Macaca fascicularis: one gene and its partners. The protein of the gene in region 3 purifies or fractionates together with the protein of the main gene of each other region. This does not show direct contact. Links are inferred from orthologs where the notes say so. Each region holds a gene or a part of one and is shown on either strand. Other genes may lie near its edges.

The links.
Region 1: the proteins of DDX3X (region 3) and EIF3D fractionate together in Homo sapiens (co-fractionation; 3 studies listed by BioGRID and IntAct, with this or other methods). This does not show direct contact. The link is inferred for Macaca fascicularis from reciprocal best matches to the Homo sapiens genes DDX3X and EIF3D.
Region 2: the proteins of DDX3X (region 3) and FUS purify together in Homo sapiens (affinity purification with mass spectrometry; 3 studies listed by BioGRID and IntAct, with this or other methods). This does not show direct contact. The link is inferred for Macaca fascicularis from reciprocal best matches to the Homo sapiens genes DDX3X and FUS.

The regions. Positions count from the first base shown.
Region 1 is NC_088384.1:15,145,291-15,151,941, forward strand, and holds the end of EIF3D (eukaryotic translation initiation factor 3 subunit D), read left to right. Parts: intron 1-544; coding exon 545-675; intron 676-1,181; coding exon 1,182-1,267; intron 1,268-1,363; coding exon 1,364-1,493; intron 1,494-5,207; coding exon 5,208-5,350; intron 5,351-5,702; coding exon 5,703-5,986; intron 5,987-6,486; coding exon 6,487-6,500; 3' UTR 6,501-6,632; downstream 6,633-6,651. UniProt on the Homo sapiens protein: mRNA cap-binding component of the eukaryotic translation initiation factor 3 (eIF-3) complex, a complex required for several steps in the initiation of protein synthesis of a specialized repertoire of mRNAs.
Region 2 is NC_088394.1:29,366,329-29,373,079, forward strand, and holds the start of FUS (RNA-binding protein FUS), read left to right. Parts: upstream 1-2,174; 5' UTR 2,175-2,250; coding exon 2,251-2,263; intron 2,264-4,426; coding exon 4,427-4,451; intron 4,452-4,541; coding exon 4,542-4,711; intron 4,712-5,846; coding exon of another isoform or gene 5,847-5,849; coding exon 5,850-5,991; intron 5,992-6,195; coding exon 6,196-6,374; intron 6,375-6,566; coding exon 6,567-6,751. UniProt on the Homo sapiens protein: DNA/RNA-binding protein that plays a role in various cellular processes such as transcription regulation, RNA splicing, RNA transport, DNA repair and damage response. Binds to ssRNA containing the consensus sequence 5'-AGGUAA-3'.
Region 3 is NC_088395.1:41,347,471-41,354,121, forward strand, and holds the end of DDX3X (ATP-dependent RNA helicase DDX3X), read left to right. Parts: intron 1-498; coding exon 499-680; intron 681-771; coding exon 772-889; intron 890-1,121; coding exon 1,122-1,275; intron 1,276-1,577; coding exon 1,578-1,717; intron 1,718-1,904; coding exon 1,905-1,984; 3' UTR 1,985-4,486; downstream 4,487-6,651. UniProt on the Homo sapiens protein: Multifunctional ATP-dependent RNA helicase. The ATPase activity can be stimulated by various ribo-and deoxynucleic acids indicative for a relaxed substrate specificity.

The DNA of each region.
Region 1 (6,651 bases), on a different chromosome or scaffold from region 3:
GGCCACTGCACTCCAGCCTGGGCGACAGAGCGAGACTCTCCAAAAAAAAAATACAAAAATTAGCCGGGCATGGTGGCGCGTGCCTGTAATCCCAGCTACTCAGGAGGCTGAGGCAGGAGAATTGCTTGAACCCAGGAGTCAGAGGTTGCAGTGAGCCGAGATCACACCACTGCACTCCAACCTGGGTGACAGAGCAAAACTCCATCTCAAAGAAAAAAAAAAAAAGAGTTTATATTCTGAGCCTGAAGCCTGCGGTCTTAAAAAGCTTACAAAATCATTCTCGTGAGGAATCCAGACGATTGAAAAGGGACAGCTGCCTTCCTGTGTGATTGAACTGAATGTCGGGTACTATCTTGAGTTATCCTGGAGCAGCTGCCCCACTCCCCCGCTTATGTGTTCCACACCAGGGAGACCCACTTTAGGAGAGGGCGGTTCTTTGAAGGAAGGACCTGTGGTGTTTGCCTCTCCACATCTCCCCACAGCGCTGCGCACATTGTCAGTGACTCTTTGTTGCATGGTGAGTGACCATGCCACGCTTTTGCAGACCTCCTGACAGTGAGTGAGACTGCCAATGAGCCCCCTCAAGATGAAGGTAATTCCTTCAATTCACCCCGCAACCTGGCCATGGAGGCAACCTACATCAACCACAATTTCTCCCAGCAGTGCTTGAGAATGGTGAGGAAACAAGTCTCTGGGCGTTGATTCATTCTTATTTAACCAGCTGCTACTTGTGGAGCATCTGCTTTTTGCTAGGCTCTTGGGTTGTGGGACTGAGCAGGACAGACCCAGTCCCCACCTTTAGCAGGGGAGTTACATGCCTGGGCTTGGGGGTCAGGCTGTCTGACTTTGAACAAAGTTCCTGTCCTTACAGAATTTCATGATAGTGGAGGAGAAAACATAGTGAACCATAAATAATAAATTGATTTACATCAAATGGTGATTTGTGCCATGGCAAAAAATGAAGTAGAGATGGGCATGGTTACGAACTCGTTTTCATTCATCAGGTGCTAACAGTTAGGAGGGGTCAAGTAGGCATAAAACAGGCAGCGAGCTCACAGCCCCATCAAGGGCCCCAGGAACCTGGCCAGAGCTGCAACTAAGCAGAGGTGCTGGGTCTGACTGATTGGCCTTGGCCTTGTCAACAAAGTTAGCTCTGTCTTGTGACACCTTTGTTTTTGCAGGGGAAGGAAAGATACAACTTCCCCAACCCAAACCCGTTTGTAGAGGACGACATGGATAAGAATGAAATCGCCTCTGTTGCTTACCGGTAGGTCACTCTCTGGTGGGTATTGTGACCAGATTGGAGCATGGGCCCCACTCTGTCGAATCCCCAGTGACCACGTGAGTTTCTCCTTCGCTGCAGTTACCGCAGGTGGAAGCTTGGAGACGATATTGACCTTATTGTCCGTTGTGAGCACGATGGCGTCATGACTGGAGCCAACGGGGAAGTGTCCTTCATCAACATCAAGACACTGAATGAGTGGGATTCCAGGGTGAGCCGCCATCTCCATCACCCTCCTGGTGACACCATGTCTCTGTTCCCTACAGTGCCTGTTTACGCAGGCTAGGTTGTGTAAACTGTTTCTTATCCCTTTTCATTACTTATAGAGCTACCTGGATTTTTTTTGTCTTGTGAGTTTTTTCCTCTGCTTAGTTCCTTGCCGAGAAAGAGCATGACTGTGTGTGTAGAACTATGTTAAGTGTTAAGGACTTTTCTGCTTATTATTTACACAGGAACCATTTAACTCCCTTCTTCCAGTACTTCATCTCTGTTCCATTGTGGCCTCCTGTTGGCTTCTGCTCTCTGAGCATCTGATTTTTTCCTCTCCTTATTATCTGGGTTGGCAGTTTCCTGTAAGTCTGGCCGCTCTTCTTTTTGACCTCTTCTTTCATTGACTGAGCCACTGCCTTCAGTCTTTTCATACCTTTTTTCCAATTCCTCATTTCCTGAACTCATGGATTCTACGATCTGGCTTGGAATTGATGCTTCAGAGGCACCTTGAAAGAAACATGCTTCCTTCACTTTTCCTCCACTTTCCATTTCCACCCCACCCCCACCCACATCACCTGTTGGAGGAGCACACTGGGAGGCTTGCTGTGACCTCCCTCTGGGGCCAGTGGCCTTTTCTTGGACTTTTCCCGGTGAGCTCCCCAAAGCATTCGGGGTCGTTGCACCTGTGTTGCTTTGCCCTCTGTGTTACCGCGTTACTCTGGTCTCACCCATTTCCCTGTTCCCTTCACATGTTGTCTTTGCTGGCTCCCCTCCTTTTTGACCCATGGAGTCACCTAGACAGCTCTCTTCGCCACACGTACTTCTTTATTATACAACTTTGTGTTAGTTATCTTTTGCTCCATAACAAATTAACAGAAACTTAGTGACTTAACAATACCGATTAATATATTTTATTTTTATTTTTTATTTTTTATTTTTTGAGACAGAGTTTTGCTCTTGTTGTCTAGGCTGGAGTGCAATGGGGCGATCTCGGCTCACCGCAACCTCTGCCTCCAGGGTTCAAACGATTCTCCTGCCTCAGCCTCCCGAGTAGCTGGGATTACAGGCATGCGCCACCACGCCCAGCTAATTTTGTATTTTTAGTAGAGACGGGGTTTCTCCATGTTGGTTAGACTGGTCTCGAACTCCTGGCCTCAGGCGATCCGCCTGCCTCGGCCTCCCAAAGTGCTGGGATTACAGGCATGAGCCATGGCACCCAGCCTAACAATATTGATTTATTAGCTCACATTTTTGTAGGTTAGAAGTCCAGTGCTGTGTGCTTGGTCTTTGTATTGGTCCATTCTCGCACTGCTGCAAAGAAATGCCTGAGAGTGGGTAATTTCTAAAGAAGGGAGATATAATTGGCTCACAGTTCTGCAGGCTCTACAGGAAGCGTGACTGAGGAGGCCTCAGGAAACTTGCAATGGTGGCAGAAAGCAAAGGAGAAGCAGGCACATCTGACATGGCCAGAGTAGGAGAAAGAGAGGGGGAAGTTGCTATACACTTTTAAACAACCAGATCTCTTGAGAACTCTGTATCACAAGAATAGCGCCAAAGGGGAAAATCCACCCCCATGATCCAGTCACCTCCCACCATGCTCCTCCTCCAACATTGGGGTTTACCACTTGACATGTGATTTGGGTGGGACACAAATCCAAACAAGGCAGAAATCACAGTGTCAATAGAAACAGGACTGAGTTCTCATCTGGAGGTTCTGAAAGCCATTTCCAAGCCCATTTTCATTGTGGGTAGAGTTCATTTCCCTGCAGTTAGATGACAGAGGCCCCCATCCCCCTGCCAGCTGTCAGCTGGGAGCCTCTCTCAGCTCCTAGAGGCCACCTGCATTCCTTGTCACATGGCCCCCTCCATCTCCAAGCTAGCAACAGCACAGCAGATCCTTCTCGTGCTTCAAATTTCTGACTTCCTCTGTCTCTGATCTCTACACCTAGATTTGAGAGACTCATATGGTTGGGTGAGGCCCAGCCCCAGGTAGTGTATATTAAGGTTAACTGATTGGGGGCCTTACATCTGCAAAATCCCTTTTGACATACAAGGTAGCATAATCATGGGGGTGATATTTGATCCTAGCCATAGGTTCTGCCTGCAGTCAAGGGGAGGAGACTCTGCAAGGGCAAGGGTCACTGGGGATCATCTTAGAATTCTGCCCACCCCAGGCCTCAACCATGAACTCTTTGAAAATGATTTCTCAAATCTACTCTGATTTATTACACTTCCCATTGTTTTTCTGCTAAAACACCTTCCCCTTCCGTGTGCCCCCCGTCCTGTCATTGCCTCTGGGCCAGCTGTCCCTCAGCATTGTCTTTCTCCCACCTAAGCTCTGAGCCTCTAATATCTCCAACTCCTTTTTTACATTTGCTATTAGCAAAATAGAAGGCTTTGCTGTCTTCTGACTCAGTCCTGGATTTCGCTGATACCAAGCCAATACACAGCTTCATCAGCAGTGCAGACTGGGAGAAGGACTCTAACGTGCCCCAGCAAGCTGCACACAGTAGTGCGCACCTGTAATCCCAGCTGCTCAGGAGGCTGAGATGGGAGGATCGCTTGGGTTCAGGAGTTCAAATCCTGAACTCACCAGCTTGGGCAACATAGTGAGACCCCCCATCTCAAAAAAAGCAAACGCACAGCGGTGCTGCAGGATAGCTTAAATTTTTTAGGGAAACACCAGAGACGTCTTGTCGGAATACTACTACATGGTTTGAACCTAACTAAATAAAAGGAATTACTGGCCAGCCACTGTGGCTCACGCCTGTAATCCTAGCACTCTGGGAGGCCGAAGCGGGCGGATCACCTGAGGTCAGGAGTTCGAGAGCAGCCTGGCCAACGTGGCGAAACCCCCCCTCTACCAAAAATATAAAAATTAGCTGGACGTGGTGGCGGGCACCTGTAATCCCAGCTACTAGGGAGGCTGAGGTAGGAGAATCGCTTGAACCTGGGAGGTGGAGGTTGTGGTGAGCTGAGATCACGCCACTGCACTCCAGCCTGGGCGACAAGAGCAAAACTCCTTCTCAAAAAAAAAAAAAAAAAAAAAAAAAGGAATTCCTGAGTATTTCTTTTGCCCTGTGGTTGCCATGAACCAAGAAAGTTTGGGAACCTCTGTCATGTGACCTTTGACCAGTCATTTCACTCTGGGTCCATCTTCCCACGTCTGTAAATGATATGGGTAGAAAAGAGGATCTCTTTGGGGTCCTTTTCTGCTGTGTGCATTTATGTAAAATGTCAGACTCAGCTTTGCCCCCACTGCAGGCTTCCACCCCCATCTAAGGCCAACTCCGCCTGTCTTTCCTATCCCACCATGCCTCTCAGATCAGGAGCTCCTGTCTGTACCTGCACTTGTGCCAATATTCTCCACTTGGCTCACTGTTACACATCCTCTGTGAAGCCCTTCCTTACCATGCAACACACAGTAGACACTTGCCTCTGCTGTTTAAAGTGTGTGTGTGTGTGTGTCCATGTCCATCATTCCCTGGCTAGGTGAGCTTTTAGAAGAGAAGAGCTGTAAGTCATTGAGTGCCAGCTTGCGGCAGGCTGTGCAAGGGAAGGGAGCGTGTCTTTGTCTCTTAAATGGTAAGATTTAGTGCATACCTACCCACTTTCTAAGCAGGCAGACTGGGGAGTTCCTTCTCTGCCAGAGGAGGTCCCAGCACCTTGGGCATTTAGAGCTTGCTTCTGCTTCTCTAACGGGGCTCTCCTGCAGCACTGTAACGGCGTTGACTGGCGTCAGAAGCTGGACTCTCAGCGAGGGGCCGTCATTGCCACGGAGCTGAAGAACAACAGCTACAAGTTGGCCCGGTGGACCTGCTGTGCTTTGCTGGCTGGATCTGAATACCTCAAGCTTGGGTGAGAGGCCTGTGCGGGAACTGGCAGCTGATCTTGTGAAAGGAAGGGTCTGGGTAGGGAGGTTGGCCCTCCCCTCCCCGTGTACTGGACTGGCAGAGATAAATCCAGGGATGGGGTAGAGATGGAGGGATCAGTTAGGAGACAGATGCCAAACAGCAGGCATGCTGAATGGAGTCCTGAACTAGGGCAATGATGTCAGTGAAATCCAGAACTGAACACTCAGAAGACGGAGTTTTCCCTTTCCCTTGAAAATAGCAGTGGACCAGGTATCACCATTTAATGGACATTTGATGCCAAGTGTTGCTGTCTCTGTGCCACCTGCTCTGACCACTGATATCCCTTCCTCTGTTAGTTATGTGTCTCGGTACCACGTGAAAGACTCCTCACGCCACGTCATCCTGGGCACCCAGCAGTTCAAGCCTAATGAATTTGCCAGCCAGATCAACCTGAGCGTGGAGAATGCCTGGGGCATTCTACGCTGCGTCATCGACATCTGCATGAAGCTGGAGGAGGGCAAATACCTCATCCTCAAGGACCCCAACAAGCAGGTCATCCGTGTCTACAGCCTCCCTGATGGCACCTTCAGCTCTGATGAAGACGAGGAGGAAGAGGAGGAGGAAGAAGAGGAAGAAGAAGGTGTGTAGCAACCCACTTTCTGAGGTCTAGAGTGATCTGTGGGCTAGCACGGGAGCAAGTTCTATAGCCATTGTGATCTTTAACCTTGATAAAACTTTGAGAATTCCGAGACTTAAGTATGAAGCAGCATTCACTTTGCCTCCAAGAGCTTCTTCCAGAGCCTTTAGATCACATCAAGTGGTTGGGGAGGATAGCGGTGTTTTAGAGAAGTGGCTGGACTGTGGCAGAGGTAGAGAAAGATGAGGGAAGTCCTGGATGGAAGCCCATGGTCTAGAGGGAAAAGCTGCGCTCTGGGTTAAATAGCTTGAAAGTTGTCTCTCCAGCTCCACCAGCTGGTGACTGAAGGAAGTACCTGCCCGGCCCTGTGAGGATCTAAAAGGCTTCACTTCTGAATGGAAGTGTTGAAAACTCACACGCAGTCCAGCAGAGGTTCAGAAAGGAAAGTGAACGCCATATCACACAACCTGGCTTATTTCTCTTACATTTTTTGTGTCTTTCAGAGGAAGAAACTTAAACCAGTGATGTGGAGCTGGAGTTTATCCTTCCACCGAGACTATGAGGGCCTTTGACGCTTAGTGGAATGTGTATCTAACTTGCTCTCTGACGTTTAGCAGATGAAATAAAATATACGTCTGTTTAGTCTCTCCTTCATCGTCTATCTGCAT
Region 2 (6,751 bases), on a different chromosome or scaffold from region 3:
GCACACCTGTACTCCCAGCTACTCAGGAGATTGAGGTGGTAGAATCGCTTGAACACGGGAGGTGGAGGTTGCAGTGAGCTGAGATGGTGCCACTGCACTTCAGCCTGGGTGACAGAGAGAGACCATAGCTCAAAAAAAAAAAAAAAAGATAAAATGTCATCCTCACATCAGCCTTTTGTTGTGAAAAATAAAATCAAGAATTTACTCAAAGCAGTCAGAACAGTGCCTGACAGTAAGTCTTGTTAAAGTGTTAGCTATCATATATTATAGATGAGCACAATGTATATCATTATTAAATGTCAGCTTTATTATTATTATTTGTTTTGAGACAGAGTCTTCCTCTGTCGCCCAGGCTGGAGTGCAATGGCACGTCTTGGCTCACTGCAACCTCCGCCTACTGGGTTTAAGCGATTCTCCCGTCTCAAAGCGATTCTCCCATCTCATCCTCATGAGTAGTTGCGATTACAGGTGCGTGCCACCATGCCCGGCTAATTTTTGTGTTTTTAGTAGAGACGGAGTTTCACCACATTGGCCAGGTTGGTCTCAAACTCCTGACCTCATGATCTGCCCGCCTCGGCCTCCCAAAGTGCTGGGATTACAGGTGTGAGCCACCGCGCCCGGTCAGCTTTATTATTAAATGTTAGCTTCATCTGCTTTGTACACTAATGCATACCCAGTGCCCAGAACAGTGCCTGGAACATACTAGGTGCTAAATAAATATTTGTGACTTAATGCATGAATGAGGGTGGACTTCCTTTCTTTTGCTCTCACTGGAGAGTTGAACTCTCCTTCCAACGCGGGTGGGGTGGATATTGGCGTATTCAGGGCCATCAGGGCTGAAGTCAAGGGCTTAGTGGGGCTTAATTTGCTGGGGGGGGGGGGCCCAGGACATGGCCCTCATTGTTTCTCTAGAAGGAAAGGTCCAACCCTCAAAAGACCTTCCGGAATCCCGCTGAAAGTTAAGTTGGGAAGGAAAACCTGCATGCGTATGTATCAGGAATTAACGTCTTTTGTCTTGCTTTGTTCAGTAGTTTCAAATTGCCTTCTCCAGGCAAGGCTGATGAAAGTGCAAGTTGCAAGTTAATTTGAATTTTTCTTTCTGCTTTTGCTCTCACAGGAAGTGGAAAGGCAACCAAACACTCTAGCATTCATGCCACCAAAAAGAGGTTTTGCAGTTACAAGACCTGGATTCGAATCACGACTCCTCCTAGCTGCCCTGTAATCAGGCACAATTACTTGGGTCTCTGAGTCTCACTTTTCTTATGTACAGAACGGAGATATGTTTACCTCCTTCGTAAGACTGATGAGAAGGAAATTATCTGTGCATTTTGAAACCACTTAAGCCTTGTACACGTTTTATTTCTGGGATCGCCACTGGTTCCCTGGTAGGGCTTCAGAAAAATAAAAAGGAGGTCCCTGAGCAAAGGCTGGGGGGCCCTTCATCTGAGGCCAACCCTCTCTTGTCCCAAGGATGGCCTGGACTGCTCCGCCCCGCGGCTCCCCAGGGGCAAAGCCGCGAGGGTCCGGGTGAGAGCCCAGTGCTGGACCAGCTCGGCGCTCAGGGGTTCCGGCCGAAATCCCTGCTGTCTTTCAGGTCAAACGTCATAATTCCCGAACCTCAGAAAGGCCGAAAAGCAAGGCAACCCCGAAAGACGACGAAGTCAACACCAGGGCGCAGGGCCAGTGTGCTGACGACGAGGGAGGCTGGAGCCGCGGGGACAAGGCGCCCCATACAGCGGCAAGAGGGCGGAGGGCAGGAGCTCGCCGTCCTGGGTGAAAGCGGGGCCCAGCGAAGAGGCCCGGCCACAGGAATGTCGGTTCCACCCCGCGACTCCCGGCGGTGACTCCAGTTTTGTCCCCAGCCGCCCGGCCCCGCCCCGCCCCGCCCCCAGCGGGCACTCAGGCCGTACCACTGTGCCTTCATGGGGGTGGAGTTAGATCGTGGGCTAGTCCTGCCGAGGAGAGAGGGGTTCTTCCCCAAAAAATATCATTATGTATAGTATTTGCATGATTCTAGTTAGCTCGTTTCCCATCTGCATGCTCGGAACCTCTACCTGCGCTAGGAAGGGGGCGGAGCGCTTTCCTTCCTCCCCCTGCTCTTCCGCGTTTGGTGCGCGCCTGCGCGGTGCGTAGGCGGCGGGACGTACTTAAGCTTCGACGCAGGAGGCGGGGCTGCTCAGTCCTCCAGGCGTCGGTGCTCTGCGTTGTTGGAATCTTGTTGCTTGCTTGGCTGTGCGCGCGTGCGCCGACATGGCCTCAAACGGTAGGTAAGGGCGCGAGGCGGCGGCGGCGGCGGCGGCGCACCGGGCCGAGGCCTCCCACCTAGGCTTTTCATTTTAGGTGGGACCGGGGTGGCGATCCTGTGTGGGATTCTTTCGTGCCCCTGTGGCGGGAAACCGCGGAGAGGGGTAACTGGAGGAGGCTGGTGTCGCCATTTTGTTTCGCTCCTCTGGCCCTCGCGCGCGGGGCGGCAAGTCTTCTCTTCGCAGTCCGTTTGCTTGGGGTGGTCGTTGGGAGGGACGCTTCTTAGGGGTTTGAAGCATCAGGTGAGGGTGGAAAATGCCCGGTTTCCGTGGCCTCGCCTCCCCCAACTCCCGGCCCCGCGCTCAGGCCCGCTTTGTCGCAGTGCTGCATCCGGGCACTCGCGGCGCGCACGCGCTCTGCGGGCCCCTCCCCCTTCGCGGCGCGGGTACCCCTTCCCCGCCTCGTGTCGGTTCAGCTTTTTGTCGCGAGACCCTTCGCGGAAGACTTGGCGGCGCGCGTCCGGTGTGAGCCTTGTTCCTCTGTGGTCTTTCGCGAAGGGGCGGGACCGCTCCATTCCCGCCTCGGTTGCCACGCGGCTGGGGGCGGAGGCTCGGTATCTGGGCCGCGCTCCGGCTTAACGGTTTGGAGGAGGTGGTCGTGGTTCCACCAACGGACTCGGGGACCTGGCCCGAGAGTTTTTCCCGCCCCAATTTTTTTTTTTTTTTGAGTCAAGATCTCCCTCTGTCGCCCAGGCTGGAGTGCAGTGGTGCGATCTCAGCTTGCTGCAATGTCCGCCTCCTGGGTTCAAGTGATTCTCCTGCCTCAGCCTCCTTAGTAGTTGGGATTACAGGCGCCTGCCACCACAGCCCGGCTAATCTTTGTGTTTTTTAGTAGAGACGGGGTTTCACCATGTTGGTCAGGCCCGTCTCGAATTGCTGGCCTCAGGTGATCCGCCCTCCTCGGCCTCCCAAAGTGTCGGGATTACAGGCGTGAGCTTCCACGCCTGGTCTAAATTTCTTTTTTCTGAGATTGGGACGGAGAATAACAGCCGTCGAGGCCACACCCTCTCCTGGTCCTTTCCCTTTTCCTGCGGGGGAAGCGCCGCGTTTCCTGCGCTGGGAGGATGAGTTGATCTTGTTCGTGTATTTAAAGTGGGGCGTTTCAAAAGGGCTTTCGTTGCTTTTGGTTCGCCCAGGGGAAGGCAGGGTAGATGAGAAAACAGAACCATCTGGAGCCCCACGGCTGGGGACTCGAGTACCTGTTGACTTTGGCCTCTTAAGGCGAGCACTTGGATGATCTCTGTCATTTGGGGTCCAAGGGCTCTTGATTCTCTGGCTTTGCACTAAAAAGGCCACTTCTTCTCCGGAATTGGTCAAAGAGTGCAGAATGGCCTTTTTTGAGACATTCTTCTGTGGGTCTGGGCTGAGAGAGTAGAGGCCACAATCTGAACACTGCTCGAATTCAGACCTGTGCTACTTGGTAGCTCTACGACTTTGGGCGAGTTAGTCTGTTTTGACTCCTGGCAATAATGGCTTTGTTATAGAGTGGAAGAAGCGAATGCGCGATGTTTTAGAGCAATCACTGACATGAATTGGTCTTGCAGAAAGTTGTGGCTGTCCACCAAGACCTTGGTTTTTCCAACGGTTAAGGCTTCTGGGACTCTGTAGAAACTTGCATTTTCTTCACTTTTTCTTTTTTGTAAGAACACTTGGCTGATAGGCCAGTTTGCTACTCTTCTCAACCAGTGTCTCAATGGGGGAATTTTATGCCCTTTATTGAAACGTGATGCTTTTTTTTTTTTTTTTTTTTTTGAGACGGAGTCTCGCTCTGTCGCCCACGCTGGAGTGCAGTGGCGCGATCTGCAACCTCTGTCTCACGGGTTCAAGCGATTCTTCTGCTTCAGCCTCCCAAATAGCTGGGATTACAGGCGTGCGCCACCATACCCGGCTAATTTTTTGTATTTTTATTAGCGATGGGGCTTCATGTTGGTTGGAATTCCTGACCCCAAGTGATCCATCCACCTCGGCCTCCCAAAGTGCTGGGATTATAGGCGTGGGCCACCGCACCTGGCCTGTGTGGTCCTATTTATTCATCAGTGCTTGAGTTAAGGAATTTAGCTTTAATTCAACTGTTTCAGAGTGGCGGCTGAAGATAATGTGATTGTATTTTTTTTTTTTTGCAGATTATACCCAACAAGCAACCCAAAGGTGAGTGCTGTTTTTGGGCTTCCAGAGTTTGTAGAGGGGAAGGGTGGTCAAGCTGTGTTTTCTGATCACGCTGGTTTTCCTTTCATCTAGCTATGGGGCCTACCCCACCCAGCCTGGGCAGGGCTATTCCCAGCAGAGCAGTCAGCCCTACGGACAGCAGAGTTACAGCGGTTACAGCCAGTCCACGGACACTTCAGGCTATGGCCAGAGCAGCTATTCTTCTTACGGCCAGAGCCAGAGCAGTGAGTCTTTCTCAGCAGGTCACCTCTTCCTGCTCTTTCTGAATATTGCTTTTCTTTTTTTTCTTTTTCTTTGGGAGACGGAGTCTCATCCTGTTGCCCAGGCTGGAGTGCAATGGTGCTATCTCAGCTCACTGCAACATCCGCCTCCCGGGTTCAAACAATTCCCCTGCCTCAGCCTCCTGAGTAGCTGCGATTACAGGCACCTGCTACCACGCCCTACTGATTTTTGTATTTTTAGTAGAGATGGGGTTTCACCATGTTCGATAGGCTGGTCTAGAACTCCTGACCTTGTGATCCACCTGCGTCAGTCTCCCAAAGTGCTGGGATTACAGTTGTGAGCCATCACGCCCTGAATGTCCCTTTTCTTAAACCTGAGCAGGACTGAAGTGTTGAAACTCTTCCATATTTCTTTTCCCTAAATGAGTGTATAATTCTTAAAACTCTTTGGGATCTGAGTCCTTTACAGGGCATTGTGGCACACCTGTAGTCCCAGCTACTGAGGAGTCTGAGGCAGGAGGATTCCTTGAGTTCAGGAGTTTGGGGCTGCAGTGAGCTATGATAGTGACTGAACAGCGACTGCATTCCAGCCTGGGCAGTGTATTGCGGCCCCATCTCAAAAAACAAAAATGTTTTTTGGTTTGTGATTCTGTTTACATTTGTTTTCTTTGGCTTTTAATTTTTATGACTCTCATTTCCCATCTCAGCATGAAAGAGCATATTTTCTAACGGGAGAACCAGTTTTAGGCCAATTCTTAAATGGAGAAAATGGTTATGCTTGAAACAAATGTATGAAATCATGTGATACATAAGGAGGTGGGATTGCCCCAAGGTCCTGAAGTGTAACTAAGAAAGGTGGTTGTCCTGTACGTAACTGCATGCACAGCTGCATATCACAGTGCTGTTAACAGGAATCCTTGGGCTTGGGATTAGAGGGTGTTGGGGTTGGCGGGGTTAAATTGGAACTGTCTTAGAGAGGATAGAAGTTGGAGCATTAACTTTGGGCTTTGAAAGGAGGGTAACTATGAGTTGCAAGATTATGAACAGCTTCTGAAAGGCTGACTTTTTGAGTATAGGTATTAGGTTGTATATGTTTTAACACATTTCTTACATTTTCTTTTTCCTGGTGGCTTTTGTGACTTCTTTTTTCTTGTAGCAGGCTATGGAACTCAGTCAGCTCCCCAGGGATATGGCTCGACTGGCGGCTATGGCAGTAGCCAGAGCTCCCAATCTTCTTATGGGCAGCAGTCCTCCTACCCTGGCTATGGCCAGCAGCCAACTCCCAGCAGCACCTCGGGAAGGTACGGTGGTGTCGATGTCGGGGAAGGCTTGAAAAGAGGGGTGAATTGATGAGGAATGATAAAGGGACCAGCAGCAGTAGGAGCAGTTTAGAGGTATAATTGGGGTAGGGGAGCCTGTGTTGAGTACAGAGAATGGAATCCACTAAAAGGAAATTGGGGGGCTATGCTGGGATTGTGATTGTGTTTTTTGTTTGTTTTCCTTAGTTACGGTAGCAGTTCTCAGACCAGCAGCTATGGGCAGCCCCCGAGTGGGGGCTACGGCCAGCAGCCTAGCTATGGTGGACAGCAGCAAAGCTATGGACAGCAGCAAAGCTATAATCCCCCTCAGGGCTATGGACAGCAGAACCAGTACAACAGCAGCAGCAGTGGTAGTGGAGGTGGAGGTGAGATGTCCTCAGCTTTGTCTGCAGCCCATTTTCTATAAGGATTTGTATTCTGTTTTAGCCTAAAAGGGTTCCTGTTTTATTTCCTAGCTGTCTTTTTAATTTCTTTTGTACTTCATTGCCTGGCACTTGTCATACCTTTTTGTGCTACTTTACAATTTTTTTTTTAAACCATCCTTTTTTTTCTCACAGGTAGCTATGGCCAAGATCAATCCTCCATGAGTGGTGGTAGTGGTGGCGGCGGCGGCGGTGGCGGCGGCGGCAGTGGTGGTGGTGGTGGTGGTTATGGCAATCAAGACCAGAGTGGTGGAGGCGGCGGTGGCTACGGACAGCAGGACCGTGGAGGCCGTGGCAGGGGCGGCAGCAGTGGTGGCGGC
Region 3 (6,651 bases):
CTTCCGGGAGGTTATCATGTTGATCCCAAACTTAGTGTGGACACCTGATAGGCATAGTACACTACAGCCCAGAACTCGTAGACTTAGACAATCCTCCTGCCTCAGCCTCCAGAGTAGCTGGGCCTACAGGCACGTACCACTGCACCCATCTAAAATTATGAATAATTTTCATTGCTCTGGTGGTGATCCATTTGGGCTGGGTGCAGTGGTACGTGCATGTAGTCCCAGCTACTTGGCAGGCTGAGGCTGTAGTATGCCATGATTGCACCTGTGAATGGCCAGTTTACTCCCAGCCTGGGCAATATAGTGAGACCCCCCCATCTCTTAAATGTATTTGGATTACCTTTATTACTTTTCCTCCTCAATTCAAAACATGCTGTTAAAAGCCCATTTTTAAGAAGATATGTATTTTAATTGACACATGAAAATTGTGCATACATAAGTGCAAAGAGAACTAAGCCATATTAGTGACAAAAACCTATAATTTTTCAACGACAGGCAAGGATTCACTGACCTTAGTGTTTGTGGAGACCAAAAAGGGTGCAGATTCTCTGGAGGATTTCTTATACCATGAAGGATACGCATGTACCAGTATCCATGGAGACCGTTCTCAGAGGGATAGGGAAGAGGCCCTTCACCAGTTCCGCTCAGGAAAAAGCCCAATTCTAGTGGCTACAGCAGTATGTATAAACATCCTTCTTTGATTCAAGTTGAGCATGTTCAAGTATTTTTCTTTTAAGTGGGCCATATCTCATATAAGTTATTTTTCAGGTAGCAGCAAGAGGACTGGACATTTCAAATGTGAAACATGTTATCAATTTTGACTTGCCAAGTGATATTGAAGAATACGTACATCGCATTGGTCGTACAGGACGTGTAGGAAACCTTGGTAAGTATTTGATTACTTGATGATTTCATGTTTTTAGCTGTGATGCGTGCAGCAAAGAACTTGCTAGGATCTAAAATACATTTTTAACAATGAAAGTGACAAAAGATTTTGCTCAAAGCACTTGTTTAAATAATAGATTGTAATATTTTAAATATTTCTGCATAGGAAAGTAGGGTAGCAAGTTACTTTGTGGAAGACGTTTGTTTATATAGTTTTTTGGGGACTCTTTTAGGCCTGGCAACCTCATTCTTTAACGAGAGGAACATAAATATTACTAAGGATTTGTTGGATCTTCTTGTTGAAGCTAAACAAGAAGTGCCATCTTGGTTAGAAAACATGGCTTATGAACACCACTACAAGGGTAGCAGTCGTGGACGTTCTAAGAGGTGAGGTATATATGGTGTAATAGGTGTTGACTTACAGTTTCTAGTGTTTCCTCTGCATGCATGATGTCCAGCGTTAACTTCACAGTATTTAAAAAGCTGAATCATCTTAGGCTTTCTAGATTCTTTGGTAAGGGGTTGTATTAGAATGGATGACACTCCATTCTAATGTTGGGGAAAATATGGCTGGATGGGGAATTGTTTGAATGGAAAAATAGAAATTGGTCATTGGGAAGTATGTAAGAGTTAGGTTACTTCAGTGGAATTTCATCTTCATGTGAACCAACATAAATTTTTTCTTATAGTAGCAGATTTAGTGGAGGGTTTGGTGCCAGAGACTACCGACAAAGTAGTGGTGCCAGCAGTTCCAGCTTCAGCAGCAGCCGTGCAAGCAGCAGCCGCAGTGGCGGAGGTGGCCACGGTAGCAGCAGAGGATTCGGTGGAGGTAGTGTTAATCTGTAACTTCATAGCTTTGGGAAGGGTTTTTTTCCGTTTAGTCATCTTTTTCAAAGTCTAATTAAACCATTTAAGATCAGCACTATAGAAACTTGATGGCAAAGTACTTAAGGGAAGGATTGTATTTAATGATGGATAACTTCATTAATTTATCTCTCTTTTAAATCTCTCATTAGGTGGCTATGGAGGCTTTTACAACAGTGATGGATATGGAGGAAATTATAACTCCCAGGGGGTTGACTGGTGGGGTAACTGAGCCTGCTTTGCAGTAGGTCACCCTGCCAAACAAGCTAATATGGAAACCACATGTAACTTAGCCAGACTATACCTTGTGTAGCTTCAAGAACTCGCAGTACATTACCAGCTGTGATTCTCCACTGAAATTTTTTTTTTAAGGGAGCTCAAGGTCACAAGAAGAAATGAAAGTAACAATCAGCAGCCCTGTTCAGAAGGTGGTTTGAAGACTTCATTGCTGTAGTTTGGATTAACTCCCCTCCCGCCTATCCCCATCCCAAACTGCATTTATAATTTTGTGACTGAGGATCATTTGTTTGTTAATGTACTGTGCCTTTAACTTTAGACAACTTTTTATTTTGATGTCCTGTTGGCTCAGTAATGCTCAAGATATCAATTGTTTTGACAAAATAAATTTACTGAACTTGGGCTAAAATCAAACCTTGGCACACAGGTGTGATACAACTTAACAGGAATCATCGATTCATCCATAAATAATATAAGGAAAAACTTATGCGGTAGCCTGCATTAGGGCTTTTTGATACTTGCAGATTGGGGGAAAACAAACAACAAATGTCTTGAAGCATATTAATGGAATTAGTTTCTAATGTGGCAAACTGTATTAAGTTAAAGTTCTGATTTGCTCACTCTATCCTGGATAGGTATTTAGAACCTGATAGTCTTTAAGCCATTCCAGTCATGATAAGGTGATGTATGAATACATGCATACATTCAAAGCACTGTTTTCAAAGTTAATGCAAGTAAATACAGCAATTCCTCTTTCAACGTTTAGGCAGATCATTAATTAATGAGCTAGCCAAATGTGGGCATACTATTACAGGGAAAGTTTAAAGGTCTGATAACTTGAAATAGGTTTTTAGGAGAATTCATCTACTTAGACTTTTTAAATGCCTGCCATAAATGAAATTGAAATGGTAGAATGGCTGACCACAGCAATGACCAGCCCTCATTAGGGCCTTGGATGATTTTTGGTCTAATAACGCATGCTAGTGTTGATGTTTTTTGGTCAAGAGGGTATGAACAGGAAGAATTAAATGCAGCAGGCTTTATTTTAAATGCCGATTCACATTACTCTGTTCAAGCTGCGTTGAGATGTTAAACTGGCTTACTATAGACTTTGTAAAATGGCTCCAGAAGAGTAACAAACTGAAATCTTTGAGATCACACAGGTTGGAAATATGTACATAACTGCACAAGGTGTCAATTCTGCTCTACAGTGCAGTTTTAGTCAGTTTTAGTTGCATAGGTTTCCATTGTATTTATAGTCTGTTTATGCTAAATCTGGCCAAAGATGAGCATTGTCCACCACTAAAATGCCTCTGCCACTTTGAATTCTGTGCTAATTTTGTGGCCAGAATGCAGTGATGAAAACGCTCCATCTTTTTACAGTGGCATAGGAAGACGGCAAAAATTTCCTAAAGTGCAATAGATTTTCAAGTGTATTGTGCCTTGTTCTAAAACTTTTATTAAGTAGGTGCACTTGACAGTATTGAGGTCATTTGTTATGGTGCTATTTCAATTAGTCTAGGTTTAGGCCCTTGTACATTTTGCCCATAACTTTTTACAAAGTACTTCTTTTATTGCACATTCAGAGAATTTTATATATATGTCTTGTGTGCGTGTCCTTAAACTTCCAATCTTACTTTGTCTCTTGGAGATTGTTGAACGCAGCTTGTCTAGGAAGGGGATGGGACTAGATTCTAAAATTTATTTGGGACCATGGGAATGATAGTTGAGAAGAAAACTATTTGCACACGACAGATTTCTAGATACTTTTTGCTGCTAGTTTTATGTAATATTTATTGAACATTTTGACAAATATTTATTTTTGTAAGCCTAAAAGTGATTCTTTGAAAGTTTAAAGAAACTTGACCAAAAGACAGTACAAAAACACTGGCACTTGAATGTTGAATGTCACCGTATGCGTGAAATTATATATTTCGGGGTAGTGTGAGCTTTTAATGTTAAGTCATATTAAACTCTTAAGTCAAATTAAGCAGACCCGGCGTTGGCAGTGTAGCCATAACTTTCTGATGTTAGTAAAAACAAAATTGGCGACTTGAAATTAAATCATGCCAAGGTTTTGATACACTTGTCTTAAGATATTAATGAAACACTTCAAAACACTGATGTGAAGTGTCCAGAATCTCAGATGTTTGTTGTGTGAATTTTGTTTAGTTGTGTGTTTTTTTTTGTTTGTTTTTTTTTTCAGTGAATGTCTGGCACATTGCAATCCTCAAACATGTGGTTATCTTTGTTGTATTGGCATAATCAGTGACTTGTACATTCAGCAATAGCATTTGAGCAAGTTTTATCAGCAAGCAATATTTTCAGTTAATAAGGTTTCAAAAATCATGTAAGGATTTAAACTTGCTGAATGTAAAGATTGAACCTCAAGTCACTGTAGCTTTAGTAATTGCTTATTGTATTAGTTTAGATGCTAGCACTGCATGTGCTGTGCATATTCTGATTTTATTAAAATAAAAAGTTGAACTGCACAGTCTCCTTTGTTGTTGTCAATTGTGGTTTATTTTCAGAGGTGAAAATAAAGTGCTCTTGCCTGAAAAATTGTAAAATGTTATTTTTTTGGTTGTCATCCAGTGCTGTTTTTTGAGATGCCTCTTGGATACAGAATGACTCTCATAAGTATTTGCAATGAAAGATGAAGATGTTAGCTTGAAATACAGTGAAACAGAATTTTTGTAATAGATGGAAATCTAAAAGGCCCTTACTGATGTACAGCATGTACTAGAAATTGGCTTATACTTCCCAACAATTTTACATGGGTGAGAGTCTCACCGTTCTTTGAAGTATCCGATATGAAGGATGGTTGAACAGTGGAAGAATGAGCAGGATAAAAGTCAAGTGTGTCAGTAGTCCAAGTAATGGTAAGTATGTACTTAGGGAAGGAATCAAGAATGTATTTGGGCCAGGTGTGATGATTGCATGGTCCTATGGTGAGTGCTAGCTTACTCGGAACCTGAGGGGCAGGAGGATTCCTTGAGCCCAGGAGTTAAAGTCCAGCCTGGGCAACATAGCAAGACCTTACCTCTACAAAGAAAAGAAAAAAAACAGGTAATAGACATCTATGCTTACCATACACACTGCTGCAACAGGCTGCTACCTCAAGTGCATAGGTGTTTGATTAGTTGTCGTACTAGCAGTTTGGTATGTTTCAACCTCTAAGGAATATGTGTATTCAGCTTTTGTTTCACTGTAGTTGAAGGTTTGCAGTATGATTTAAGAATTTTTTGCACTGTAAGGAAGTACAGTTCTGGATAGTTAACCTTTGTCCAGTCATGAACTCAAGCCTAAGTTTTTGGAGCAGAATTTTGAAACATGGCCATGTGTATTTTGAAGATAGAAAAGATGATCATACTTCGGTCTCAATTTAGTCAAACATGGAAAGGTTTAGGATGGCTAGATTGAATAGTCAATGGCTGAAAATGACTCGTGAAGTTGGATGCTAAAGAAGAGTTCAAGTTCCCCTTCATGTGAATGATGAGGAGTGAACATGACAATCAGCTTGGGGGAACTGCCAGAATTTGAGATTATTTCTAGTCTAGCATGGTTAGGATTATGGTGACAAATTCAGTACGTTTATATACTACATTAATCTGGTTTAATTACACTTAAATGCAGTTGTCACTCCTGTGCACTGTTTGTGTTTCCTGGATTCTTGGCTGAATTTCAAGATTTTTAAAATGGCTTTATAGGAGCTATGTCTAACCTTCATGCTTAAAATGTTTCCCTTGCTCCTATGCTCTAAGTGACCTGCTTGAATGGCCACAGGCTTGCTCTTTGGAGTTCAGTGACTTAATACATTGTTGATAGGGCTTCACTACTCCCAGAATACAGAGGTATCTACTTACTGTAGGTACAGGGCATTGAAAGTTATAAGACTATCTTTGGGTTTCGCTTTCTTCTGTTCCATTCTATTTTTAATACAATTATGGGTATATTTAAACCTGCTTTGTTGCTTCGTGTCATTTCAGCTTATGATCTATTTTTCAGCATGTTTAGTGTCATTGTTTCTAATGTGGCTGTCCCTTCTATAATGACTACTCTTTAATTTTTTTTTTTTTTTTGAGATGGAGTCTCGCTCTGTTGCCCAGGCTGGAGTGCAGTGGCATGATCTTGGCTCACTGCAAGCTCCGCCTCCTGGGTTCACGCCATTCTCCTGCCTCAGCCTCCCGAGTAGCTGGGACTACAGGGGCCCGCCACCACACCTGGCTAATTTTTTGTATTTTTAGTAGAGACAGGGTTTCATCGATTTAGCTAGGATGGTCTCGATCTGACCTCGTGATCTGCCCACCTTGGCCTCCCAAAGTGCTGGGATTACAGGCGTGAGCCACCGCGTCCAGCCTAATTTTCTCATTCTTCATTGATTTCTTTTTCCTCTGAGTTTTCTCTGCATACACCTGACTGGGTTTTCTTTAGGATAATTCTGAGACAGGACTTTCTTGACAAAGCACTGTTTAGTTATATTATGAAAGGGTATTTTGTGACTTGGAAAGATGTTTATTATGGGAGAAAAAACGGACCAATACGATTTAAGAGCAGGAAATAGGTGTCTCAAAACGAGATAAAGTCAGCAATTCCACTCGTAGGAGGATTCTACCCAGGAAAAATGAAAATGCTAAGTATGTGAATGTTTTGTAGCATTAT